Astyanax mexicanus: one gene and its partners. The protein of the gene in region 1 purifies or fractionates together with the protein of each later gene. This does not show direct contact. Links are inferred from orthologs where the notes say so. Each region holds a gene or a part of one and is shown in the gene's direction. Other genes may lie near its edges. The genes, in order: dis3l, exosome complex component RRP40, hbs1l and exosc9.

The links.
Region 2: the proteins of dis3l (region 1) and exosome complex component RRP40 purify together in Homo sapiens (affinity purification with mass spectrometry; 6 studies listed by BioGRID and IntAct, counting the BioPlex papers as one, with this or other methods). This does not show direct contact. The link is inferred for Astyanax mexicanus from reciprocal best matches to the Homo sapiens genes DIS3L and EXOSC3.
Region 3: the proteins of dis3l (region 1) and hbs1l purify together in Homo sapiens (affinity purification with mass spectrometry; 5 studies listed by BioGRID and IntAct, with this or other methods). This does not show direct contact. The link is inferred for Astyanax mexicanus from reciprocal best matches to the Homo sapiens genes DIS3L and HBS1L.
Region 4: the proteins of dis3l (region 1) and exosc9 purify together in Homo sapiens (affinity purification with mass spectrometry; 3 studies listed by BioGRID and IntAct, with this or other methods). This does not show direct contact. The link is inferred for Astyanax mexicanus from reciprocal best matches to the Homo sapiens genes DIS3L and EXOSC9.

What each region holds. Positions count from the first base shown.
Region 1 is NC_064430.1:4,908,885-4,915,819, forward strand, and holds the start of dis3l (DIS3-like exonuclease 1), read left to right. Parts: upstream 1-3,935; 5' UTR 3,936-4,027; coding exon 4,028-4,157; intron 4,158-5,293; coding exon 5,294-5,447; intron 5,448-6,153; coding exon 6,154-6,282; intron 6,283-6,801; coding exon 6,802-6,935. Other genes in the region: muc15 (mucin-15), read left to right, coding at 1,421-1,542. UniProt on the Homo sapiens protein: Catalytic component of the RNA exosome complex which has 3'->5' exoribonuclease activity and participates in a multitude of cellular RNA processing and degradation events.
Region 2 is NC_064409.1:67,969,491-67,977,348, reverse strand, and holds the start of exosome complex component RRP40, read left to right. Parts: upstream 1-4,832; 5' UTR 4,833-4,896; coding exon 4,897-5,124; intron 5,125-6,546; coding exon 6,547-6,696; intron 6,697-6,957; coding exon 6,958-7,109; intron 7,110-7,858. Other genes in the region: uridine diphosphate glucose pyrophosphatase NUDT22, read right to left, coding at 3,164-3,315. UniProt on the Homo sapiens protein: Non-catalytic component of the RNA exosome complex which has 3'->5' exoribonuclease activity and participates in a multitude of cellular RNA processing and degradation events.
Region 3 is NC_064420.1:44,408,628-44,415,697, reverse strand, and holds the start of hbs1l (HBS1-like protein), read left to right. Parts: upstream 1-4,056; 5' UTR 4,057-4,154; coding exon 4,155-4,197; intron 4,198-5,503; coding exon 5,504-5,569; intron 5,570-7,070. UniProt on the Homo sapiens protein: GTPase component of the Pelota-HBS1L complex, a complex that recognizes stalled ribosomes and triggers the No-Go Decay (NGD) pathway.
Region 4 is NC_064432.1:2,497,464-2,504,714, forward strand, and holds the start of exosc9 (exosome complex component RRP45), read left to right. Parts: upstream 1-4,245; 5' UTR 4,246-4,355; coding exon 4,356-4,421; intron 4,422-5,846; coding exon 5,847-5,941; intron 5,942-6,681; coding exon 6,682-6,801; intron 6,802-7,251. UniProt on the Homo sapiens protein: Non-catalytic component of the RNA exosome complex which has 3'->5' exoribonuclease activity and participates in a multitude of cellular RNA processing and degradation events.

The sequences.
Region 1 (6,935 bases):
CTTAAGCATTAATAATTATTTATGTTTAATAATGTCTAAATTAGTGTCCATTAATAACTAGTTAAGACATTTCCGAACCATTTAACAATGTTTATTAATGTGGAAGTATTATATCCTGTTATTTGTGACCCTTATTGTCATGCCGGCTAGAAGTGAGGTAGACATACTGTATGCAGATACTTAACATAAAGTTTATTAACAAAGTGCTTAAACCTACATGAGTTACGTGGGACAGGCTTGGTTAACATCAAAAGTGCACCAAGATACAACAACATACCGGGGGGAGTGGTCAGGCAAAACATGGTCATACACGAGTGATCCAGCAGAAAACAGTGCAAAGCAAAAGAAAGGTCTAAACACAAAAATAATGGTCAGCTATGGTAAACAAACAACAAAGAGGGCAAAAAGGGAAAGAAAGGAAAGAAAGGGAATAATGGCAAATACTAATGAAATGTGACATAAAAGAGCTGGCTAATCAAATTTAATAATCTGTGACAAGGAACAGAAACAGGGGGTATTCATACTAACATGACAGGTGTGTGTAATTAGAAGCTAGGCGAATTAGAACGATTAGCTGCGTCCGGAATGTCTGGTGTAACTGCATGCTGGGAGTCTTTAGTGAGTGCAACAGAGTTTATGGCAGACATACTGACATCTTCAGGACTGACATTTGCTGTAAACTGTTACCAAAACTTCAACAATACACTGTTGCTCAGACATTTTGTTCAATCAATTTGATAAAAAAAAGACAGTGTAAAACTGTCTGACAACCAAATTAGTGTATTATTTGGAGAAATTTTCAATAGATCACAATATTTTGTCTTGTAAAACTATAAGGTCTAGATTGAGTCATCCAGCAAAACTAATCTATCTTATTCTAAGGGGTAGTTTCTTAGACAGGGCTTAAGCTTAGTCATTGACTATATTTCAGTTTTAGTTCATAACTAGGCTTATTCCCTGTCCAGGAAACTGACCTGAACTATAAACAGAATTGGTTGATTCTTCTGTAGCTTTCTATTTGTGCTGGGAGTTAACTTAATAGGTTTTGTCCATTGTTAAGGACGGGTTGCTGGGGAGATTGATATCTACTTTGACCTACTGTGGTTTCTCCTGTTTTCTTGTTTATCGTGAACAGTAGCCTATAATAATAATGACTGGGTCAGTTTTCTGGGCAGGGATTCAGAGATAACTATAGGCTTTTTTCCCCTTTCAGTGTAAAATATGAATGTATAATAGTCTGCAGTACAATTTTATAAAATAAAAATGTAATAAAACTGTAAATAAAGTTTATTTTAGTTGTTATTTCCAAGAAATTGTTAGGCCTTCTATGTAAGCCTTAAATGCTTTATTGTATTCTCCGTTGTTTTACATACTGTATACTTATCTGACCCCAATATTTGCATTTGTCTTCTATTTATAGTTCTCAGGTTGGACAACAGCGAGCCTCTGGACCTGAAATACGATGGCAGTGGCTACTACAACCCTGGAGTTCAAGGAGACAATATCCAGATGACCAACTTCCCAAGAGGACACTCTAACTGAAGATTACACTGCTGTGCCAAGGAGAACACTGTTATGTGTGCTGGACCGTGATGTTACTGATTGTGAATCTGGGCAGAACGTATCTTTATTAAAGTATATATACAAAAATCTTTGTAAAGAAATAACGAAAATAATATGCCAAATGAATTTTGCCACTTTAAATGGACCAAAACCTCTTTTTCTTCTCATTTTTTCCCTCGTTCGTATTGACTGCTGGAAAAAAATGCACAGATTGAACAGTGTTTTTGGTGTTACATTAATTTTTTTATTCATTTTTCATTTAAATATAAATCATATGTAGTCCTGTGTTATCCCATTTCAGTAAATATTAATATTAATATTAATCTAGGGTTTCACATGACATCATATTATATATATATATATATATATATATATATATATATATATATATATATATATATATATATAAATCAGGGAGTGCCTAGCTAGATAGCTCGCTAACTTTGTTGAAGAATCTGTTGTAGCTAACAAATTAGTGCCTGTTCCATCAGTATCAAACTTAAATGATTCCATTTTTTGTGAAAATGTGTTATCCCATTTCAGTAAAGATTATATGATTTAAGTAATAGTTAGTTAAGTAATGTACATCAAACTATAAGGAAGTATCCTGAGTGAATATAAGTTATTTTAATAAAAAGCTTAATTATGGTACCTTTTATGTGTAATTTCTCTACTGGTGGAATGGGCACTAATCTGTTTGCTAGGTAGGTACTTCTGTTGATGTGTCTTGCCTTGCTTAGACTGTAATGCAAGCTAAGCTAAGCTAAGCTAAGGTAAAAAAAAAGGCTTAGATGTGGTTAGTGCTATGAAAATCTGAAGTTCTTTATTAGTCACAAACACAAAATATCTATATCTTCTTTTTGAGGTACCAGTGTACCTCAGGTTTTCTTCTAAAGTAAGATGCTAATTTTAGTAATATTTCACCATTGACTATTGGGAAAAACAGAAATTAGCTTCTAAATTTGTTGGGCACAACAAATGTGTCTGAACCCTTGAATACAGTTATAAGCTGTTTAATATAATTCTTCTTATTTTTATTACGTAAATGTAGTTTTATTAAATAATGCTGGTAATATTTTGATTCAGTTCGATATTTTAAAGATCTTTGTTCCAGATTTATTAGTAAAGATGATCAGATGATAGGTCAGACAGCAGAATGGGCTTCTGGGAAATGCATGTGTATTAGAACAGTTTGTGGTGTTATTATGTGGATCTACTTGATGTCATATTGAAAAAAACGAGTGTTCATATTAAAAAATATATTAAAAAATCAGGTTCTGAACTTCTTCTGATCTGTAACAGTGATTGTGCAGAAACTTCAAAACTTCTTAAAGATACTGTAGACAGCTCTGGAAAACAATTAGAGGCCACATAAAAAGTATGGGTTTCTTTGATTTTACCAAATTAAAAACCTCTGGAATATAATCAAGAGGAAGATGGATGATCACAAACCATAAAACCAAACTGAACTGCTTAAATTTTTGCACCAGGAGTAAAGTAGCATAAATTTATCTAAAAGCACTGTGTAAGACTGGTGGAGGAGGAGAACATGATGCCACAATGCATGAAAACTGTGATTAAAAACCAGGGTTATTCCACCAAATATTGATTATTTCTGAACTCTTAAAACTTTATGAATATGAACTTGTTTTCTTTGCATTATTCAAGTCTGAAAGCTCTGTATCTTTTTTGTTATTTCAGCCATTTCTTATTTTCTGCAAATAAATGCTCTAAATGGCAATATTTTTATTTGGAATTTGGGAGAAATGTTGTCTGTAGTTTATAGAATAAAACAACAATGTTAATTCTACCCAAACATAAACCTATGCATAGAAAAAAACAGAGAAATTGATGGTCTCTTAATTGGTTGGAATATTTTATATAATAAGTTTACGGTTATTCAATGCAGATCATAGATAATAACACTGGAGCACTCAAACAATAAAATAAACAAAAAAGTTTTCAAAAGAAAATGTGTTGGCTAATTATTTCATGAGCATGCATAGCCAGGTTTTCACACAGTGAAGCAGGATGTGGTTGCACACGAATACTGTACATTAATATATATATATATATATATATATATATATATATATATATATATATATATATATATATATATATATATATATATATATATATATATATATATATATATATATGTATGTATATAAGTGACCTTTAAGGCATCTCCAAGTGTCCTATTGGACATCTCCAAGTGTCCCTTTGGTATCTCCAAGTATCTTTTTCGGGAATCTCCAAGTGTCCTTTTGGACATCTCCAAGTGTCCCTTTGGTATCTCTTTGGAGCTTCGGGTTCGCCGTCTGTACTTCACACTCCGGATCGGTAGGGGCGGTAATGCGCTGTGATTGGTCTGAACTCCGGGAGAAGAAGTTAAGAGGCCGGCTGTTTGTTGTTGTTTGGTATATTAGAGTTATCATAGAGTTAATATAGAGTTAATATAATGTTTAAAACGGAGAAGGTGCTGCATTTAAAGAGCAGTAGAGGGGGGAAGGTGCGGGTGGTGAGGGAGCACTATGTGAGGGAGCGGGTGAGCTGCGGCTGCGCAGTGTGTGAGGCGGGCTGTGACCGCGGTAAGATACATACACTACACTATATTACATTATATATAACCACCACAGCACTCTATATAACTATATAACTATATATACATGTATAACTATAACATTGTATCACTATAGAACTTACACATGTAACATTTTCCCTGTGGCCAAGAGATACAGCTTACAGTTAACGTTAAACCACAACACTGTATAACTAACAGTAATATAATTATATATCTTTATTTAAACCTATATAACTGTAAAACTATTGAACTATAGAACTATTTTATTGTATAAACGTAGACCTATAGAGCTGAATAACTATTGAACCACATATCTTTATCACTGTGTAACTTTTGAACTATAAAGCTGTATGATTGTAAAACTATATAACCATTGAGCTATAAAGCTGTATAACTGTATATATGTAGAACTATAGAGCTGTACAACTGTAGAAATGTATAGAACTGTAGATCTATAGAGCTGTATATCTGTAGAACTATAGAGCTGTATAACTGTAGAACTATTAAACTATAGAGCTGTAGATTTGTACAGAACTATTAAACTATGGAGTTGTATAACTAACGTCATAGAACTATAGAGCTGTATAATTGTATAACTGTAGAACTATTAAACTATAGAGTTATATAACTGTAGAACTATTGAGCTGTATAACTATATAACTATTGAGTTGTATAATTGAAGGGCTATTAAACTATAAAGTTGTATAAGTGTAGAACTACTGAACTATAAAGCAGAAGAATTATAGAAATATATGTAACTGTATAACTGTAGAGCTAAGGAGCTGTATAATTGTATAACTGTGTAACTATAGAACCATATGACTATATACCTATAGAAATATATAACTATAGAATAATATATCCATATAACTTATACATTTAACGTGAGACAATACACTTATTATCTCTTTAACTTACCTTAATATCAGATTTCCTATTTAACCTAGATAATATACTGCTTTAACAGAGTGATTTTGTATACAATCATAATAATGGAACAAAATAAGTGTGCCATTTATCAAAATGTACACAAATGTATCACAGTTTGATAAAATAACGTCATATTGCCCAGCTCTACTGCTGTAGTTTTATAAAGTATATGTATAAATTATACATGCTAATGCTCCCACTGTGCTCATATAGATGGTAAGCTGCTGTCTGGGGATGTGACCCACTACGTGGTGCCGGATGCTGTAGTGGTGCGGGACTTTCTGGAGGTCCTGGAGTTTAGAGAGTTGCAAGGGATTGTGTTTACCCAGACGGCCTGTCAGGCTGCACATCACGCCCGAGGACGGAGGTATGCTGCTGATACGATGTCTGTTAAATTATATAATTTAACAATGTTAAATTATAACACTCTGAGGCTGGATCAGAGTCTGAACCAAGGTTACATTGTAGTCTGTACATTTAGTTCATTGGTTTCACTCTGCATAACTTTACTAAATGGGTGGAGTCTCCCTATACTATACCTGCACTGATTGGTTTGTAGAATATTGTCAATTTGATGAGATGCATTTCCAGATGTTGTGCTGAATTCTGTCTACCTGATAGAATTTGACTCCCCAGTCATGTGATTTGATTTATTTCAGTTATTTCAGTTTATGAATGAAAGTTAATCTACAGTTACAGTAGTTACAGTAATCACCAGAGTAATCTGTTGTAGCCATACTGCTGCGTGATGCGCCTCTACGTGAAGGTAGTCGGATTTCGGCACAAGACCAGTTCTGTTTCTTCTTCTATTGTTTAATAAGTGACGATAGCCTGCCTCAACTTCTCGTAATTGGTCCGAAAGTCCTAAACCATCTGTAAAATTGTTTTCAGGTTCATTAGATCCAGAGTGAGACCACTTAAAAGGCCAAAAGGCCTGACCAATTTTTGGTTTTGTGACCTAGAGTGTGGATTGGTCCCTTGCTAAATTAAATAGTGTGTGGAATGCAGAATGTCTTTTTTTCTTTCTTTCTGTACTGTGTATGTCAAATTATTCTTATTATTACATTCTGCAGGCACTATAACAGGTTACGTGGTCTCCTGAAGGACCCCCGCCATGACTGCGTCTTGTTTGCCAATGAGTTTCAGCAGTATTCCTACTGCCCCCGAGAGAAAGGAGAGACGCAGGAGAAATGGCACACAAGGTGACTGATAATTTAATTTAGTGTGATTTGTGAAGCTTATCATTCATGATATTAATGATGATATCATGATATCACGATATTAGACCTGTCACAATAACAGCATTTTGTGGACAACATATATTGCGATATATTGATGATGATGATGATGATGATGATGATGTAATCTAAAGACCATATAATGCCAACAAAATAACGAAAGAATAAGAGGATAATAAAGCAAAATTGCATTAATTTCTAATTAAATAAATAGTTTGGAATGGCCATTCATTGCACCACTGGCAAATTTGTTTTTGTTAATTTAGTAAATTAAGTTGTTTTACATTTGAACAAGCATGCAAATAAACACATATGACACCAAAAAAATCTGTAATTTTCATATCTATGCGTATTTTACCCTCTTCAGTAAAACAGATGATGTAAAGTATTGTAGAGAATCATTTTGTGATGTATAAAGAATCAAAGAATCGCAGTATTTTGATATCAATACAAGCTGATCTTGAGCATTTGTGCTGGTTTCAGGTGTGTGTATCATGCAGCAGTGTGGTATTATAACCACCTGGCTGGTCTGAAGCCAGTGGTTATGATCACAGAAGACCAGGACGCTGTTAAGGAGTACAGCAGTCTCAACAGTGGGGTTTACGTCATCTCAACCC
Region 2 (7,858 bases), on another chromosome or scaffold:
GTCGGCCCCGTTCTGCCTCCGCTCCGGTCCCTCAGGGGGAGGGTACTGTCATGTCTGGTGCTGAAAGCACGTCTGTGTCTCCCACATCCAGCTCTATCTGCGATTCTCACAGTAACAACTACAATACCCAGAACGCACCACTCCATGACAACACACACTCCCGATCACATGACACGTCACATGACGCCACCAGGAAGTCCCGAGTACTGATTACTCAGTGTATTTAAGGACCATGCTCACGCTCACACCTCGCCGAGTATCTGTTTGGTAAATCCTACAATACAAAGCGTTTCTCTTGCCCTTGCTATTCTCCGTGTATGATCTTGTTTTTGTTTTCTACCGACTTTGATTTTTGCCTGCTCCCTTGTGTTGGATTACCGTGTATGACCTGGACTGTTTATTGTACTCTGGATTTTTGCCTACCCTGTGATATTGCCTACCCGTGTATGAACTCTGGACTGTCCTCCGGTTATGGTATGGTTTCTCTACACTGTGCATGTTTGGTATTGACCCTGTTTCTGTTGACTACCCCTGTCTACTCTATAACTTTAATAAAAGTTATTTTATTGTATCTGCACCAGTCTCATTCCTGTCTGGCCCTGACACAAGTGGCATGAAAATAAAACAGTATGAAACTTTTGATGTCAGTGCACTGTCGTCAAAGGCTACTTTCTAAAAGGGGGTTGGGTTTTTTCAAGATGACAGGGCGAACAGAGATTTGGATACGTTTAAATCGCTTGATTTCTAAATATACTTCAGAAATATAATTTGTTATCTTGAGATAGTAAGTCATACTTGTCAGATACTACCTTGTTATTTTAAGATACTAAGTCCTTATTTTGAGATGCTCATTATTTTGAGATAGCAAGTCATAATTGTCAGATACTACCTTGTTTATTTTGAGATAGTAAGTCCTTATTTTGAGATGCTCATTATTTTGAGGCAATATGTCATAATTGTCAGATACTACCTTGTAATTTTGAGATACTAAGTCCTTATTTTTAGATGCTCATTGCTTTGAGGTAGTACATCATAATCGTCAGATACTTCCTTGTTTATTTTGAGATAGTAAGTCCTTATTTTTAGATGCTCATTATTTTGAGATAGTAAGTCATAATTGTCAGATACTACCTTGTTTATTTTGAGATAGTAAGTCCTTATTTTTAGATGCTCATTATTTTGAGATAGCAAGTCATAATTGTCAGATACTACCTTGTAACTTTGAGATAGTAAGTCCTTATTTTGAGATGCTCATTATTTTGAGGCAATATGTCATAATTGTCAGATACTACCTTGTAATTTTGAGATAGTAAGTCCTTATTTTTAGATGCTCATTGCTTTGAGGTAGTACATCATAATCGTCAGATACTTCCTTGTTTATTTTGAGATAGTAAGTCCTTATTTTTAGATGCTCATTATTTTGAGATAGTAAGTCATAATTGTCAGATACTACCTTGTTTATTTTGAGATAGTAAGTCCTTATTTTTAGATGCTCATTATTTTGAGATAGTAAGTCATAATTGTCAGATACTACCTTGTTTATTTTGAGATAGTAAGTCCTTATTTTTAGATGCTCATTCTTTTGAGGCAATATGTCATAATTGTCAGATACTACCTTGTAATTTTGAGATACTTAGTCCTTATTTTGAGATGCTCATTATTTTGAGATAGCAAGTCATAATTGTCAGATACTACCTTGTTTATTTTGAGATAGTAAGTCCTTATTTTTAGATGCTCATTGCTTTGAGGTAGTACATCATAATCGTCAGATACTTCCTTGTTTATTTTGAGATAGTAAGTCCTTATTTTTAGATGCTCATTATTTTGAGATAGCAAGTCATAATTGTCAGATACTACCTTGCAACTTTGAGATAGTAAGTCCTTATTTTGAGATGCTCATTATTTTGAGGCAATATGTCATAATTGTCAGATACTACCTTGTAATTTTGAGATACTAAGTCCTTATTTTGAGATGCTCATTATTTTGAGATAGCAAGTCATAATTGTCAGATACTACCTTGTTTATTTTGAGATAGTAAGTCCTTATTTTTAGATGCTCATTGCTTTGAGGTAGTACATCATAATCGTCAGATACTTCCTTGTTTATTTTGAGATAGTAAGTCCTTATTTTTAGATGCTCATTGCTTTGAGGTAGTACATCATAATCGTCAGATACTTCCTTGTTTATTTTGAGATAGTAAGTCCTTATTTTTAGATGCTCATTATTTTGAGATAGTAAGTCATAATTGTCAGATACTACCTTGTTTATTTTGAGATAGTAAGTCCTTATTTTTAGATGCTCATTATTTTGAGATAGTAAGTCATAATTGTCAGATACTACCTTGTTTATTTTGAGATAGTAAGTCCTTATTTTTAGATGCTCATTCTTTTGAGGCAATATGTCATAATTGTCAGATACTACCTTGTAATTTTGAGATACTTAGTCCTTATTTTGAGATGCTCATTATTTTGAGATAGCAAGTCATAAGTGTCAGATACTTCCTTGTTTCTTTTGAGATAGTAAGTCCTTATTTTTAGATGCTCATTCTTTTGAGGCAATATGTCATAATTGTCAGATACTACCTTGTAACTTTGAGATAGTAAGTCCTTATTTTGAGATGTGCATTGTTTTGAGGTAGTACATCATAATCGTCAGATACTTCCTTGTTTATTTTGATATACTATGTCCTTATTTTTAGATGCTCATTATTTTGAGATAGTAAGTCATAATTGTCATATACTTCCTTGTTTATTTTGAGATAGTAAGTCATAATTGTCATATACTTCCTTGTTTATTTTGAGATACTACGTCCTTATTTTTAGATGCCCATTATTTTGAGGTAGTACATCATATAATTGTCAGATACTTACTTGTTTATTTGGAGATACTAAGTCCTTATTTTGAGATGCTCATTCTTTTGAGGCAATATGTCATAATTGTCAGATACTACCTTGTAACTTTGAGATAGTAAGTCCTTATTTTGAGATGCGCATTGTTTTGAGGTAGTAAGTCATAATTGTCAGATACTACCTTGTTATTTTGAGATTAAAGCACATTACACTGAATATTGGCCCTTGTTAGTAATAGGTGTTGAGCTGTGAGATTTGTGTGGTGTGTGAGAAATGCTGAGTTATCTACTGAGCAGGAATACAGAAGGGGTACCTGGTCGATATCTCTGCTCGGATCTGATGTTCTTCCAGACCCTGAGAGGGAGCACAGTGCAGCATCACAGAGACCTCTGGATCCATGGGGTGTTTATGATGTTTCTTATACGTGTCAGGATCTTCTGCACCCTCTGACAGAGCGGCATCCATCTAAACGCACTGAACACACCGGGCTAGCTCAGCTCAGCTGCTACAGATATGCTAGTTCAGAAATGCTAGCCGGCTAGTTACAACTAGCTAACTAAATTAACGTAACCTTCATAATCATCCCCCGGCTGTAAAGAAACCCATGGTCCAGGGCTAAACCTGCAGCTAGATGAGCTGTTGGTGCTCACTGCTCTGATATTACACAACACAGCACAGTGAGAAACAGAGTTAAAAAAGACAGGAAACACCTGAACAAGGAACTGCAGCTTTGTAGTTTTCTAGTTGTATCCCCACCTATATTCCGACAAGTCCCGCCTACTTTACAGTGATTGGCTAAAATCAACCGACAACCGTCCAATACCCTGGTGAGTTGTTTCTTGTTGTGTATTACTCGGTCAGGGATGTCCTGAAACTTTTGATCGGGCTATATTTAAGGATATTTGTGTAACACCATTATACAGCTCAGGAAAAAATGAAGAGACCACTTCATTTTCAGAATCAGTTTCTCTGATTTAGCTATTTATAGGTATATGTTTGAGCAAAATGAACATTGTTGTTTTATTCTAGAAACACAATTCCTCCCAAATTCCAAATAAAAATATTGTCATTTAGAGCATTTATTTGCAGAAAATGAGAAATGGCTGAAATAACAAAAAAAAAAAAAAAGATGCAGAACTTTCACACCTCAAATAATGCAAATAAAAAAAATCATATTCATAAAGTTTTAATATTTGCTGGAATAAACCTGTTTTTTAATTACGGTTTTCATGCATCTTCGCATGCACTCCTCCACCAGTCTTACACACTGCTTTTGGATAACTTTGTTCCACTCCTGGTGCGAAAATGCAAGAAGTTCAGCTTGGTTTAATGGCTTGTGATCATCCATCTTCCTTTTGATTATATTCCAGAGGTTTTCAATTTGCTAAAATCAAAGAAACTCGTATTTTTAAGTGGTTTCTTATGTTTTCCAGAGCTGTACATAATATACAAAAAAATCTTAATTGTATTTGAAACCAAAAAATATATATTAAAAAATGGTTTTTAATCACAGTTTTCATGCATCTTCGCATGCACTCCTCCCCCAGTCTTACACACTGCTTTTGGATAACTTAAGCTTGGTATGATGGCTTGTTATCTTGATTACATTGAGGTTTTCAATTTAGTAAAATCAAAGTAACTACATTTTTAAGTGGTCTCATTTGTTCCAGAGCTGTGCATTATTTTCTAAAAAAAATCTTATTTATATTTAAAACAAAAAAAAAACTATACAATACAATCCAAGAGCATGCAATAATAATAGGTCAAATTCACAGCATATACAATCAACATCACAAACACATCAAAACAAAAACACAAACAAACAACAAACCTAAACAGACAAACAGAAAAAAGTGTGATTCAAACAAAAATTATTGGATTTATGACATTTTTAAGAACTACAGTATTTTTTTTACAGTGAACAGAGGGGGCTGTGTGTGTTGTCTGAGGGGGACTTTTATATTGTAATGCTGTTTCCTGCGCTGTACCGGAAGAGTGTGTGTGGTGTTGTCAGTACTCGCACATGTGCAGGAGCCCTGTGTGAGTATGGAGGCGGTTTACTCCTGTTTCAGAGAGAAGCTAGGGCAGGTGATCTTACCTGGGGACGTGTTCTGCTTCGACGTGTCCGCGGTGGAGGGCAGCGCTGTGCGGGCGGAGCGGGTGATCTGCGGTCCGGGGCTGCGGAGGAACGGGGACGAAATCCTGGTGTACAAAAGTGGGATTCTCCGCCATAAAGCCCCCAACTTGTACTGGATAGACTCCCAGCAGAAGAGGGTAACCTTAACAAACCCCAGCTCACACACATGCTGTCAGTCTATCTGTGTGTTCTGCTGACATGTGAATTTATTCAGTTTCACAGCCGAAGCTCCACACCCAGCTTCTGGTCGGAAATTCCTTGTTGTCCAGATTCGATTCTGACCAGTATCAGTATCAGTATGGGGGTGTGATTCTATTTGAGTTAGATTGTTTAGCTGGACTACAAGCATCATCAACCTAAACAAGCTAACTAGTCAGGTCAACAGTATGATCAAGCTTGATCAACCTGGATGACCAACATCTCTTAACCTCATTCACCATCAAAGACCAGCTTAGACCATCTGAAAACAGCTACCAGCAAAAACTATTCTGGAGTTGGCTGGGTTTTTAGTTTTGAAAAAAGGTCTGACTACAGATTCTTACGTACAGCTCTGAGGAAGAAAATAAGAGAGCACTTAACAATTATTGCTTATTAGTTTCTTTGATTTTAACAGATTAAAAACCTCTGCAATATATTCAAGTGGAATATGGATGTTAAACCTATGTATAAAGTGTTTGATTTTTTTGCACCAGTAGTGGCATAAACTTATCCGAAAGCATTGTGTAAGACTGGTGGAGGAATACATGCCAAGATGCATGAAAACTGTAAATAAAAACCAGGGTTATTCCACCAAATATTGATATCTGAACTCTTAAAACTTTATGAATATGAACGTGTTTTCTTTGCATTATTTGAGGTCTGCAAGCTCTGCATCTTGTTGTTGTTTCAGCCATTTCTCATTTCTCAATAAATGCTCTAAATGACAATATTTTTATTTGAATTTTGGGAGAAATGTTGTTTGTGGAATAAAACAGTGTGTATTTTTCTCAAACATTAACCATATACAAAATCAGAGAAATTGATTCAGCAACTGAAGTGGTCTCTTTTTTTTTTTTTTAGAGCTGTATTACTTTACTGTACTGTAATATATATAACTGTAGTACAGTATCAAAACATATGTTTAGACACACCTTCTCATTTAATGTTTTTCTATATTTATTTTTCTAATATTTATTTTATACATCATAGATTAATATTAAATACATGAAAACAATTAAGAGGGACATGTGAAATTACACAGTAAACAATCCCCTCACCTCAACCCAACCCAATCTCCAGGAACACCGTCCTCAGTGAAGACACTGAGATTAAAATGCCAAGAATGTGCAGATCTGTCCTCAAAGCAAAATGAGCCTACTTAGAAGAATCTAAAGTTTAAAACATATGTGATTCTATATAGCTTTAATGTCTTCAATATTAAATTTACAATGTAAAGAAAATCGTAAAAAGAATGAAAACACATTAAATGAGAAGAGGTGTGTCCAAATTTTGACTGGAACAATATAACTGTTGTGTATATACTGTACATGCTAAATCTTTTAACTGATCATTTTCTCCAGTATGTTCCAGTTAAGGGCGAGAGTGTGATTGGAATAGTGACTGCAAAGTCTGGAGACATCTTTAAAGTGGATGTTGGAGGCAGTGAGCAGGCATCTCTGTCCTACCTAGCGTTTGAAGGAGCCACCAAGAGGAACAGACCCAATGTGCAGGTACAGTACCTTTTGAAAAAAGCATGCTTCACTGCTTACACTGTGTGTTTATAGCAAAATCAGTAGCCCAACATAGTCCAAACTAGTATTTCTTAAGCTTGGTCCTGGACGCCCACATTTTTCATGTGTTTTCATTGTGCCAAACTCACCTAATCCAACTAATGTATCCCACAGAAACAGATATTTTTTTATAACAGATATTGTTATTTAATTATTGCAGCTCATTTAGTTTGTCTGACTGTTTGTTTCTGTGCTTTATAGGTTGGAGATCTGGTTTATGCACAGTTCACTATTGCCAACAAAGACATGGAGCCGGAGCTTGTGTGCATAGATAGCTGTGGGCGGGCCAATGGGATGGGAGTATTTGGAGCGGACGGGCTTCTCTTCAAGGTTTCTCTGGGATTAGTACGCAGGTATGCAGAGTGCCAGCAGCCTAAAAATACGATGATAATGCTGTACACAAAAGACAAGAAAAATACATCAGAAATCTTCTGCTTAGCATTCAGTCTAAATCCTGCAACATTCAGCATTCTAATCAAAGTCTGTTTCATACACAGAAGTTTTCTTAAAGCCAGATAACATGGTGTTTTTTGTACTGCGTAGATAAACACAATCTTTAAATGAATTTGCCATTTTCTGTAAAAATATGCATAAGAATTCAAAGCTATTATGTCTATTTAAATGTTTAAAAAAGCAATAATTTACCTTATTTGTAAAGAATATATATATATATATATATATATATATATATATATATATATATATATATATATATATATATATATACATTTGAATGTAAATAGAAGAATGAATGTTAGAAATGTAAAATGCTATTAAATTAATATTAGTGGTGTTAATTAAAATTATTGTATACTTGTATGTTTGAGGGGAGATAAAGTCAACGTGGGACGCTGAAATAAAAAATGTATGACAAATTGTATAGAGGAAAAACCTTTAAATAAAAACCTTTTTTTATTTTTTATTTTATTGTACGGGTAAACATCTCCGCTTGGTTGTAAGGATTTCTTCATTAGAACTTATTTCACTGAGTATGAAAATCTCAGGAAGTGTTTGGTATTGCACACATTACAGCAGATTACAGTGAAAGTTGGAGTCAAACTTGGTGGCAAAATTATTATTAAAAATAATAATAATAATAATA
Region 3 (7,070 bases), on another chromosome or scaffold:
TTCTTCAGAAAAAAAAACAAAAAAACAGCTCAATATAATTTCTGCTTTAATTTATCCCACTGTTGGTAAGATAGGTGTCATAGTTCCTAACATTGTTTTAACTGTGTTATTATTTCACCCCTATACAGAAGAAAAAGACTGTAGTTGGATAATTCTGTACCACTGTGTGCATTAGCCAATTAGCCAGCATAAAAAGAGGCCAATCATGATGATGTTTTTGTTACTTTCTCACTAAGTGTGTATGTGTCTTCCTCTTTTGCCCCTTTCCTTCCCATTGCCTTAATGCTCCCTCTCTTGTTCACTTGCTGGCCCTAAACAAATATTACATATGATCATATATAATATGTGGGCATTAGAGAGCCACTATTAAAATGCGGGAGACTCCCTGAACTACAGTGAGAGGTGGGCTCTTGGGAAAAAAATACTCCAAACAGGCCTATTAATGATGTAGTATGAAAGAGCAGAATTATTTCGCTTTACTTTTTCATTTTATTTACACTATATGTCCAAATGTATGTCTAGCCACTGCAGAGGTATATTGGCAACAGAAAATTAACATATTGGTGTGGGCATTGAGAGTAGAGAGATATAAAGCCACCCCAGTATTGAGCTAATGCTCCATACAGTACTTTAGGGATGAGTTGGGAAGTTTGAGATGAGGTGGAGGTGGTGATTATCCAACATCGTGACCTCACTAATACTCTCTCACTATTGCACTATTGTATAAGTCCTTACAGCAATTCGACCAAAATTGGGTTGTTGTGTGTTGTTGTGAGATATTGTAAAACTGGTTTGAATTTGTTCAACCAATCAGAGGCAGAACTCTCCATTTCCTAGTATTGCTTTGTTTATCTAACTGTTTCTAATTGTTTCGCTGTGTGTCATTTTATTTAAAGTACAGTTTTTATTACAGGGAATTTAAGCAGTTTAACTGTTTCTTTCCATATAAAATATTTTTGTAGGTTAAACTGATGAATCACGTTTACTGATTATATTTATCCTAAGAAGTAGCCCTGAGTAAAAATACTCAAACTTTCCATCGACTATGGACACAGAAAAACTGCCAAGGCACTCTAGCCAAATGAATCAAGGTTGTGTGAGTATATCTGTATCTGTTTGTGTGTGTGAGTGTGTATGTGTGATTGATCTTCCTCTGCAGGTTTTATTTTTTTCTGTGCTGAAAGGTGTCATTCACATCTGTATGACATTTGACACTTGTGCACAGACCTAAATTTAACTCGGAACAAAAACAGACACCTGCAGTACTCACACACTTTCTCAACACTGCAGCTTTGAGGTTCTCTCGCCTCATGCTTTCTTAGAGTGACCTAAATCTACACAGAGTGAGGGATGGAGAGAACAAGAGCATTTCACGGTTCTTTATATGGTTATGTTCAGTGTATTTATGGACACCAATGTGTGGTGGATAGTTGTGGAGAGACTAGAAATAGGCGGTCACAATTACCAGTTTTGTAAGTGATATATTGTTCCAAAAATAATTGCAATAAATAACACAATTATTGTCTTTTTACATCACAAAAAATGTTTGCATCCAGAAGGAATCTTTTGACAGGAATGAATTTAGGTGGGTAGTCATGGCAGATCTTCAGCGATGAGTCACATATTTGTATTGGTTTGATATGACCAATGACCCCGAATGTGGAGGGACTGTGGTCAGCACCAAGATCAACAGTTGCAATTTTCTACAATGGCAGATCACCTTCAGACTTCATTAAAGACACTTTCACAGCCCAATGCCATGTTTTTTCCACTTTTTTTTTCCACTTCCATTTTTTCTCCCCTAATTTAGCTAGGCCAATTGGCCGACCCATTTATCTGCTAGTCAGCTGTATATCCCCCAACGCTAGTGATGCCACAACACAAGGAGAGTAAAGACTAGCACATGCCTCCTCCGAAACACGTAAAGTCTCTTTTCCAACTGAGTAGCATCACAGCGCGCTCTGAGGAAAGTTCCAATAAATCAGCTCACAGATGCCCTTTGCTGATCTACATCTAGGGTGTAGACGTCACCTAGAAGCATCTAGGTTGAGCGCCATCTACCCACCAAAAGAGAGCAAGGACAATTGTACTCTCTCAGGGATCCGGCAGCTGATGGCGAGCTACATGACTTTCGAACCAGCGATCTTCCGATCTCGCTGAAAACTCTCAAATTGACTACGCCATGTGTAGCTGCAAATTTTTGCAACAATTCCCCTTGAGATGAATAGCATAATAATGCAATCACACATTACTTTTAAAGAGCAATTCATAGAGCAACTTGACGTTTCCTCTACCATTGGAAGCTATGGTTGGTAGTGGAAAACTAACTGGGAACCAGATACCAAAAGAGAAAGTAAAGTCAAGTAGGGTAGGCACCATGCACATACCCTTCTTTTGCACCCATTCCACATACTTTTGTAACACCTTGTTAAGAAGTACTTCCAGTAAAACAGGACTCTCTGGAACAGATAAACTTGGACCTTTTGGCATTATGCCATGCCTAATGCTAGGCGTGAGCTAGAGGGGTATAAAGCCCTTCAGCACTGATCTATGTAGTGGAACTATATATGCTTCTAGATAATGATTTAAACACAAACTCAATCTTCGATTGTAGACTAAAATAAACTTGTTTAGTTTAGATTTGGTAATTTATATTTCCCTTTGGTTAAAATGCTGCAGATTCTAGTGTTTATAGAATTAAGGATATAATATAAATGCAATCTCTGAGGTTTGTAGATGATAAATTGGATGGATGCCAGTGTTTCAGGGTGCCCTTGTGTCTATGTTACCTCCTGGCTCTCTCTCTTTAGTCAGCCAGTGAACTAGGTAAATTCCCTTGATTTCAGAAGAAAATATGAATAAGCTTTTGTGCACGTTTGTTGCATATACTGCAGCTTTGTGCAAGGCTACCCAAACAGACATGTGTTACATTTGTATACATCTGTATTAGGAGTAAGACAAGGCGTGGGACTTATATTTAATGTGAATGCATGCATAATCATTTATGACAGTTTCATCAGTGAGATGCATCACATTATGTAAGACCTTTGCTCCTAAAGTCCTGCTGGAGAGACAGAAAGAGAGAAGAGAGAAGCAAGTGAGGGCAGAGGGGGGGAGAAGAAGGTGGTTTCCAGGACAGGATGAGGTGCAGCAGCTGTGGGAGAGTTTCCACTGGGAAATAACTCTCTCAGGGGATTTTTCCACCTGGTAATTTCTCAGTATGTCTCAGAGCCAAAGACCAGTGGCTGAAACAAATTAAATATTTAATTTGTATTTACCATTTAATTAAACATAACTTAATAATAAGGATGCACAAATGTGGCACTGTATTTTTAAGTAAACTACGACATAATTGTCTGTTTTTTTTAATAAAAAAATAGTACAAGAAACATTATTTAAAAAGGTTATTAAAAATAACCCACAAGACACCTTTTAAAGGTGTGTTTTAGGTTTTAAAGGTCTGTTTCAACCATTTTAACAATTTACATGCTTAAATTAAATTATGTTTTATTAGGCGTTTTTTTTTGCTGACCTGATTTCTAAAACTGAATGCTAAAATACAACTTGTATTGTCGTTGTTGTCGTGTGTCATAATTTATCATGATAAAGAATTAATTGCTCACTACATTTATCTAAAAGAGATAAAAATTTTGTCAGGTCATTTTGGAGAATTTGTATTGGTCCATTCATCAATTTTTATTTTTTAAACAATGTAAAGGATATTTTGTACGTTTAAATTGTGTAGTAAATTACAAATAAACAAAAATAATAAATAATAATAATAATAAAAAAGTATTTTATTGGACAGGAACGATATGTGTTTAAAGTAAATACAGATTTAAAAAAAATATATATAATCTGGAGCTTATGTACTATTTATGAAAGAACTTGGGGAACCCTAGAAGAATCCAAAAACTTTATGGCATCATTTCACTGTCTACCATGTTTTTGCAACATAAAACACATAAAAACATGCAATTATTGATTATTAAATAATTTAATAAAAACAAGATTAAAGTGACTTTTATTCCAAAAGTCTTCACTGCGCATGCGCGCCCTCGCCGCGTTGACGGGTAATCATGGCGGCAGTGGAGTGAGACGCATATGCCTGAACTTTAGCCTGGAAAAAGCACAGAAAACTCCCTGAATAAACCATGTCTCGCCACAGGAATGTCCGGGGCTATAACTACGACGAAGGTAGATTATATACCAGCTAGTGTGCGTGTGGCTGTCTCAATAAACGAGTTTTAAAAGCTGGAGATAAGAGCTGAGAGCTGGTTAGCTGGGTGGCTCAGTTAGCTTAGCTTAGCCTGGCCCGGTGTGATTGTTTGAGTGATGGCGTGTCAGTACTTTACCGCTGTTTATATGTAATAAACTGTCTGTAGAAGTTCCTGTCGTGCTTAAATCTGCTGTAGAATAGCTGTACTTACATTTATCACCTTTCAACAACACGCTGCTTGCGTTTCTGCCAGTATATTTTTAGCAGTATGAAGTTACTGCAGTGCTAATGCAGCTATCTGCATCTGCTAACCAACCGTTAGCTAACTTCAGTCTGAAACATGTCCATTTATGAGCTTAACTAAACACTTATTTGTGTTTATGCTTTGTGTTAAACATATAAAACATATAAACATATAAACTGTCTATATTTTAATGTTGTAGATCTGCTCTTTTGTGGTGTTATCTGTTTTGGTGAAATTGTGCAAATTAATAAACATTAACCTAATAAAAGCAGTCAGTAGTGTTCTTAATGTTTCACTAAATAAGCATATTTTAACGATTAAGATTTATATGAGGCTCTAATACATATATAAACTGTCTTTATTTTAATGTTGTAGATATGCTCTTTAATGGTATTGTCTGTTTTGGTGAAATTGGGCAAACTAATGAACATTAATAGCTAATAAAAGCATGTGTGTTATTAGTATTTCAGTAATAGAGCTTAAGTTAACGTTTAGGACTTATGTGTGGATCTAATAAATATATGAATTGTCTATGTTTTGAAGTTGTGTCAGACAATGCTGCTGTTTACAGGTTTGATGACCAGGCCATATGTGAGTAGCTGACTCAGTGTTTAATGCCATTTGGTACACTGTGAGTGTATTTAGAGCTGGGCAACAAACCGATATTTGATTGTATCGTGATTCATTTTGGAATTGTATCGACAATATGCTTTAATATACATATCAAAGATATCACCATTATTGCTTAAGGAACACCGATCCTGCTCTACTTTTCATTAGAGTTTTAAAGTGTTTAATTAATGGATGGCATTCAGCAAAAAAAAAAAAAAAAAAGCTGAATAAAAAAAACACTTTACTTTGCATTGAAGAGTATTTAAATAGCAGTGTTTTAAATTAATTGGTTTGACGGGTGTGCCAAAACATTGTTAAAAAAAGAAATATAATTTATTGTCTATACATATTGTGCTTTAAATAATGTTTTTACAATCTCTCTTTCCTAATTGAGCCTAATTTTGTCTTCTGTTCTCTTTTCCTCACAGATTTTGAAGATGATGACATTTATGGACAGTCAGTGGATGATGATTACTGCATCTCCCCTGCTACAGGTTGGTTCTACTGAGATTGTGGTAATTACTCTCATGTCATGTGACTCTCTGTAACAGTACTGATGTTGTGTGTGATGCTGGTGGTGTTGGCTAGGTTGTGTAGGCTGTGTTTTGTTGTTTTGATAAAATGAGGCGTAAATATTTTTCAAGTAAAGTCCAGTCGCCAAAACAGTGATAGTCAGTGATTAGTCCTTACCTCTGAAATGGCCAATTAACAGCCTCAACTCTAAGTTTATTTTTTTAGATGTTAGTCATAATTAATGAGGCATGAAAGTCGTGGTTTGGTTCTCACAATGGTTTGGATTTCACCCTTCTACCTTCCGAAAGGCATCATAGAACCAATCTTCACTTTGTTAATTTCAAACTCTTGAATGAAGGTGTAAATAATTTGGAGGAATAGTCTTTTAAAAATATCAGTCAAAAGCCCTGTCCGGACAGGATTAGTTTTTTTGGGGGGTCCTGAGGAAATTTTCTCTTTTATGGGGAGTCCTCTGTGATTATTAACATCCGGAATGACCATGTTTGGGCAAAATTACAGGCTGAATTATCTACTGTTTTTCGCTAATCTCCGTGGTCCTCCAGTAATTTTATTCCCGTCCAGATTTCTGAGTTCCGTCACCTCGAGTTTAATAAAATGGCTATTTGTCCTCTGTCACGCACCATATTTACACTTTGGACGCTTGTTTCCATGGAGATTCATGTAAACAAAACAGCGAGTGGAAATGGAGGAGCTACTGAACGCGGTGTCACGTTATCGAGAAAAAAAACCTCACAGGTCCCCCTGTTTATTTCAATTGCAGTCTGGATGTAAGAGTTTTATCACTGAGTAGAAGGGTGAAATATTTTTCACAGATGTCCCCCTGAGAAACTAATCCCGTTCAGATAGTGCTTAAGATGCTTTGGGGAAAGGGTTGTCAAACACAGTCCTAGAGGACACCACCCAGATGGACCACATTTTTGCTTCAGTCTGACTGACAGCCCAAAGAGATGGAGCACTGATTTAGGTAGAGAAGTGTCCAGCACAAGTTCCAGAACTGTGAAAAAGAATATCTTGAAATCTATTACAATTCCCACAATACCATGCAATCGTTTGGGTGAAACATGCTGTTGAATTTTCATCCTCTCTTGTTATCTGCGCCTTACAGCTTATTTTAATGCTCTGTGAGACTGTGTGTACAGAACCATGCCAAACCATCTGTCCTAATGCAGAAACCATTATGAATTATTCAGCATTTATAGCACATTCTGGAATTTAAGAGGTTAACCAAGAGTTAGTTTCCAAAGTGTTGCTTCTTTAGTTTTCTCTGCAGCTACAAGGCTAATATAGGAATTAATTTATCTCTCTGTATCATCTAAAATCTTAAAAAAATATATAATCCTTTAATAGCCTCATCAACCAAACTGACTAGGGTTTGAAACCCTGGTTAGGCTTTTACACATCAACACCAAAGATCGTCCTGAGCAGGTATTTTAAATCTACGTTGGCCTACCTGTGCAACGT
Region 4 (7,251 bases), on another chromosome or scaffold:
TAGACCATTCCCAAGAAGAAGACATGAGAGCTGATGTTTCAATTGTGGAGTGATTTACATAAAAGCACAACCATTCAGATCACCCTGCAACTCAAACGGATGAAACTGGGATATTTACGGCGTGTTTGTTTATTATTCTGGACTCTTAATCACACTAAGCTGCAAATATGTGCTTCTGACCATTAGACACATGAGTGAAAAAATGAATTGTGGTAACAAGTATTAAAACCTCACGTTAGCTTGTTGTACAAAATGGATCTTTCCACTCGCCTGGATAGTATAGATCAATTAAATTAGCAATAAAACACAGACCCGCCTTTTCAGCGAGAAAGGTTCTACTGAGATTATAATGTTTAATAACGTTTAATAACCTAATCATTGAGCAGCTGGATAAGAGAAAGAGATGTAGCTAGGGAAGTCAGCGGTTTTGCACATTGGACCCTCTGAACTGAGCATATATATACGGGCTTCAACTTTACATTTTTACATCGGATATGGGGGGATGCTAAAAAAAAACTTAAACAAATGTGAAGGATGTGAACATAAGGCAAGAAATCCAATTCCTGCCAATTTTGCAGGAAAGTTGGGAATTTGGTAACCAAGCAGGAAAAGGACCGCTGAGTGAAATGTTCATAATTTTAAAACTGTGGTTGAAATTTTAACTTGGATTTTTTTTTTTGTTTTATTCCACTCTACAGTTCAATTTAGTTAAATTTGTGTGTCTTTTTGTGCTTTTGTGCACTCGCTCCTCTTGTTCAATTTTAGTTTTTTTTGTTGACTTTAATTCGTTTTTAACAGTTAAGCAATGAAAGCATGTCCTGATTTTTGATCGAAACTGAACAAAATGAAACATTTGGTGCCAGGGTTTTCATTAAATTTGCCACTTTTTTCACCACTGGGTAAAATTTATAGTCTACAGGAATTGTTGACCTGCTTGTCAAAGAAAAAAAAGCTGTTACAATTTTTTATTTACCATATAAACATTTTTAATATTCCAGCAGGCGTACCAACAAAGCAGCTAGCTAGCTACTGTACGTTTACCTCAACAGTTAACTAGCTAGCTAGTGAATTTACCTCAGTAGTGCTATTCTAGTTACATTATGTGAGTATTAACTGTATTTTACACAGTTTAAAGTAATTCATACAATACTAAAATGAAAACATTGCATCAAATGACTTGGCGTTAAATAAGAACATTGCTTTTTTTTGCCAACTTAGGACGTTTTTGTTTTTTTTGCCAAATAATTCAGTACATCCCTATTTGTAATTAATCCGTAGTCATTTTATTTTGTCAGGAAAACTGATAAATGTTCTATTTTGGAAGGAAAATTAACCCCCCGTATGAAGTTGAAAGTTGAAAGTGAATTTCAGCATGATAAGCAATGTTAAGCCCTTATAGCTTGTAGCCTTAGGAATTGATTAAGCCCATCTTTACTTGTAGCCTGTCCAAAGACTTTTTGCACCATTTCGTTCAATTTCAGCCGGAAGGTGAATAATGGGATAAAGCCTTCAAGTAGGCAAAGTTTTCAGTTTTACTTTTTTCCTACATTTTGCCTTAATAGCAGGCACTACTTAATGCTGCATGACTCTGCGACAGGCCGATTGTGAAGGAAGTGACTGGAAATCTTTCATTATCATCTCAGAAAAAGCAAAAAAAAAAAAAAAGACAAAAAACTCTTAATAAACCTGGTTTGTTAAGCACGTGGTTTTAAGTTAATCGATGTGTTAACCTGTGTTTTAAGTATTATTTTTATTTCTGTTCTTGTTCCTCCTCTCGTTTGCTCTCATTTGCTTCAATTCGTGATCAGATATATTAGCCTAGCTTGCGGTTTGAAATGCATGAAGTTTGAAATTGCGTTATAATTAGTGAATGAATTTCTATTTCCATTTTGGTTCTTCTTTACGTTGTTACATTACATTTCGCAGCCGTTCGGCAGAGAAGAAGAAAAAAAAAACGTTAAGGTTGTTTGTCTTAGTTTCTTAGTTTTTGTTTTTGTTTTTCTTTCTTTTCTGTTGTTCCAGACAGCTGTAAATCATACACATTGCTGTGTCGTGCCTTACGAATGATTGATTGCACCTTTGGAAGGAGGTTGTTGTGTGCTTGTGTTCCGTGTGCAACGCTCAGAGCAACATTTTCCATTTTCTTTGCTTGTTTGTTCTACCATTGCAGATGGTAAACAGATGGATATATGCAGAAATGACTATTTCATACCAGTGTCTTTTTATTCATAAACCCTGTGATCTGCGTAACGATACTTCTGCAACGTTTGGCTGTTGTGAATGGGGCTTGGCATGCTCTCAAATTATGTTTTAGTATCCCAGATCTGTTTTAAATAACCTAAAGGAAATACAGGTCATGGGCCATAGGTCATATGATCTGTCTTATTTGTGTAGGCTAATCTCTAATTAAGATATATAAGAATTATGGAGCGAGGTGATGTAGCCTACGGTTTTCTCACTCGGATGGAGAAACTGGCCCGTGTGTTAAAGCTGTGTATTTATTTTATCCTCTTAAAGACGAGAGATAGGACAACTTGGCAACCCTTGAAATGCAGTGGGTTTTATAGCAAGTTTATGTTTATAAATAAACTATTTTAAATGCTCTTGTTGTGTGTTTTGTGTGTCTGTGTTGCAACTTAATGACTAAAAACTCACTTTTTATTTATTTTTTTTTAACAATAGTATATTTTATTGTATAAAGAAAAATATTTTGTTTGCATTTCAAAGCCATTATGTTGGAAATTAAGCCACAAATAGCATTTCAATACAATAGAATGAACAACTGAAAATAGACAAAAAAACGTCTGGATAGGTGGAGATCTTAAAAAATCTTTTCTCTACAGTTTAGAGGGATAAAAAAAACACATTAACATTGTCTATATAGTTACATGTATACATACCTATATACATATACACACATGTACACGTTTTCACCTGCCTGCACACGCATAAACACTTTTATACATATACACAATTTAACAGTATGTACAGTATTTTAAGTATGTTTTCAATGTTTTCCACCTTTTCTTAAATAAATCAGTGGTTAGGTTTAACTGTGCTGTGGTGTTTTCCATAATACAAACCTTAAAACTCACATTTAAATACTAAGCAACAAATTTCCAATTATTATTATTATTATTATTGTTGTTCTTGTTGTTATTCTTCTTATTATTCTTGTTGTAATTATCAGGAAAACACACTAAAACAGTAAAAAAAATGAGTTAACGCATGCGCAGAGCCGTTAAGTAGCACAAATGGCCATGGCTAGCGCAACTCGAACACCGGCGTTCTGTCGATTTGTGCTACCTTGTCAAACCGTGCTACCCTAGTGTATATATAGGTGAAAATAGTTATTTTTTATTATACATATATATGTTCACATGGCTAGAACACTCAAACAATGTTAGTGAGCTTGGAGAAAACCATTATTATTAAAATTATCAGAAAAAAAAAACACATGAAAACGTTTTTAAAAAATGAGTTAACGCATGCGCGGAACATAAGGTAGCACATATCTGTGGGTAGCCGAACTCGACGGAACACCAGGAGTGTGTCCGAAATGGATTCCTACTCCCTCAGTAGTGTGCCCTATATAGGGAGAGACTGTGTAGTTCACTAACTAGTCATTAACACGCGTCCGCTCTGCTCACTTAAACACCTGAACTGTGTTTAAAACTTCATTAAAACACGAGCTGAGCTCTGAATTACAGTAAGTGAAGCTCTGAGCTGATGACTTTTATATTTACAGCCCTTTTACAATAACCACACCTTTTTTGAATAGAGCCGAATAAAGTTTTAAAAACCGAATTCTGTGGGGATATAAAAAAATTTACAATATAAGCAGAGGTTACACTAAAGCTGTTGCATTTAAATAATGGAGGTAGAATTACAGTATATTAGAAAAAAACGTGATTGAATGTTGTCTGTTTTGCCATTGAAACCTATGGGGATGGGTGGAGTTACACAGCTTTCTGCAGCCGAACAGCAGGGGGCGCCCGACCTGTGGTGGCTTCACTTTTAAGAGACGATGCTCTGTCCAGCTATATACAGTCTATGGGTTTACCTTAATTTCAATGTAATAATTTGGCAACCCTGATGGCTAGGCTGTCTGTTGCTAGGTAGCAAGACTCGCGTTGCATTCTGGGACACTCAAAGAAAAATGGCTGACACACTCAATAGTGCCCTAAAGAGTAAAGAGGGAGCCATATCGGTCACAGCCCGGCTGTGCTCCGGCTGTGATGACGCACTCAAACCGCGACGCAGCAGCAGCGTGACTGAGTGCAGACTGTGTTCCTACAGAGAGGTGTTTACTGAGACCGGGATAAACAGAGAAAGAGACATAGACAGAGAGAAATATGAAGGAAACTCCGCTCTCAGCCTGCGAGAGAACCTTTCTTCTGAAAGCTGTGGAGGAGAAGAAGGTAAGAGACTGATTTCTCTTATCTGAACTTAACTAGTTTATAAAACAGCAGCAGATCAGCAGGATTACTCCCAGTCCCACTGTTCACACCTGTTACTCACTCAGATCCAGTCTAATCAGAGATGCAGTGATTCAGGGTTCAGTGATTTATCTAATAAAGCTGTTTATATAAACCACAGAACAGAGTCAAGTCAAGTCAAGAGGCTTTTATTGTCAGTACATCTGAGTGCAGAAGTGACGGGTACAGTTCAGTTTTGTGTGAGTGTGTTGGGTGTGTGGTGTGGTGGGTGGGGTGGGGTTCGGTGGGGTTTGGTGGGGTGGGGTTCAGCTCTGTCTCTGTGTGTTGAGGAGTCTGACTGCCTGGTGGATGAAGCTGTTTCAGAGTCTGGTAGTAGAGGCTCTGTGCGTTGAGGAGTCTGACTGCCTGGTGGATGAAGCTGTTGCAGAGTCTAGAAATGGAGGCTCGGATGCTCCTGTATCTTCTGCCGGACGGCATCAGAGCGAAGAGTCCGTGTGAGGGATGGGTGGGGTCATTCACAATGCTGGTGGCTTTGCTGATGCAGCGTGTGGTGTAGATCTCGGTGATTGAGGGAAGAGGGATCTTCTCAGCTGTCCGCACTATCCGCTGTAGGGACTTGCGATCTGAGGTGTTGCAGTTCCCAAACCAGACGGTAATGCAGGTGCCCAGGATGCTTTCTACAGTCCCTCTGTAGAACATGAACACGTGTTATCAAATTTCATTCAAATGATATTATAAAATATTATCGTAAAATGATAATATAAAATGCTTTTAATATGATCAGGAATAGATGCTGCAAGAAGAAGAATCAAGTTCCTGTTATGTGTAACTCATAAGCTTATACTAATCTATACTATACTCTACTAGTACTATAATATATTAGTATATTGTTTAAAATATATATCTCCTGCAGCATTTATACAATTTCATCATAATAAGTGGTAACTGTGTAACCATTAAAAGCAAAAATATTTTCTTTAGAGAAATTACAGACTGTTTCCTACACCTTCGAAAGACTCGGAAACTGGAGAAAAACTGCTACAGGAAGAGTTACGTCTGGCTGATCCACATGGCAACAGCGCCTTCAGTTCAGATTAACAATAAACTAAGTCTCAGTTTCAGCAGTGAAGAGAAGAATTAGAGGTCTGACAGGTGAAGTGCAGTAATAAAATCATTGATAAGATTAGAAAAAAAAAAAACAGACTTCTACTGGACTTCTAAACAATAGAGGTGTCCTAAAACTTTTGACCAGTAGTCTATGTACATTCTATTTTATTATAATAATAAACTGTAGTATAGTTCATTTAAATGTTGTAGTATTAAGCTATAATATGTATGTAGTGCATGTAGTGTATGTGGTGAATCTGCATCATCAGAAAATAAACCATGTTCATTTATTTGTTTCAGCGCCTGGATGGAAGGCAGACATACGACTACCGCAACATAAGAATCACATTTGGTACAGATTATGGCTGCTGTACGGTCAGTCTCGGCAAAACCAGGTAAGCTACTGTAGTTTAATAGGAGCCTAACACTCCTGTCTCTAAATTTGTTTTTTAATTTTAATGTTTGTTAATGATAAAATAAGCTTGTGGTACACAGATGGATCACAGTACAGTGCATTAGGCTTATTTCTTTATGTGGTCTTAATAGTTTGGTTCATAAGTGTATATCAATAAAATTTAATTAAATTGAAATTGTTGTAAATATATATACAGTCATTCAGAATATGAAGGAACACATAAGGAGTCATGTAGTAACTTAAAAAGTGTTAAGCAAACCAAACAAGATACTCTGTGAAGCTTGTAGATGCATTTTATCAGGGGTGCTGTTAACTTGTGGTTTTTTAATGCTGGTAAATCCGTTCCTGATGAGTGCCAGTTTCATCATAAATTTTGATTTGGTCTTTGCGACTGAACTTAAGAATTCTTTAAAGTGTTCCAACATTTTTCTGATTGAATGAAACAGATTTAACACAGCTGTTAACTGAAAGCCGTTCCATTAAAAACCTCATAAAAGCTGACTTTACGAAATCTAAAATAGAAAGCATATTTTGGTTTGTTTAACACTTTTCACTTTACCAAATGATGACTTAATTATTAATCTACAATGCAGATAATTAAAAAAAAATGAAAAACCACTGCATTTTTAGGTTTATCTAATTTTTTGACTGTTGCTGTACATACAGCAGACAGATGGATGGTATGTATGTGACTGACTGTCTCTGTCTCTGTCTCTGAAGGGTGTTGGCTCAGGTATCATGTGAGCTTGTGCCACCCAAAGATTCACGTCCCACAGAGGGAATCGTGTTCTTTAACCTGGAGCTGTCCCCCATGGCATCACCTGCGTTTCAGCCCAACAGGTACTGTAGTACTGCTACACGAAGGCCATGTTCACGTAAATACAATAGATCATGAAATTTTATGTTCTACAATGTGTATCAAATTATTAATTTTATTCCCCATAACCTTGGATTGTTGGAATGGTATAAAGCTTTTAGTTTAAAAGCAGTTTAAATGAGTTTAAAAGTACAACAAGGTCTTTGTTGAATCCTAAACAGAACCTGGATTTGTCTCTAAAGACGTTACAGTTCTAGTCCATAGCAGTCCAGGTTTTACTCAAAAGAAAGAGTCTGTGATTGGCTGATTTAAACTCAGGATGGCAGGCTAATGATGCTCCCCTTCTCTATGGCTACGTTGACATTACAAGCCACATTGCCCAAATCTGATTTTTTTTTTTTGCTCAGATCTTGTCGGTTCACATTCACTGTAAATGTAAGTGATCTGTATCTGTGTGTAATGTGAACGAATCT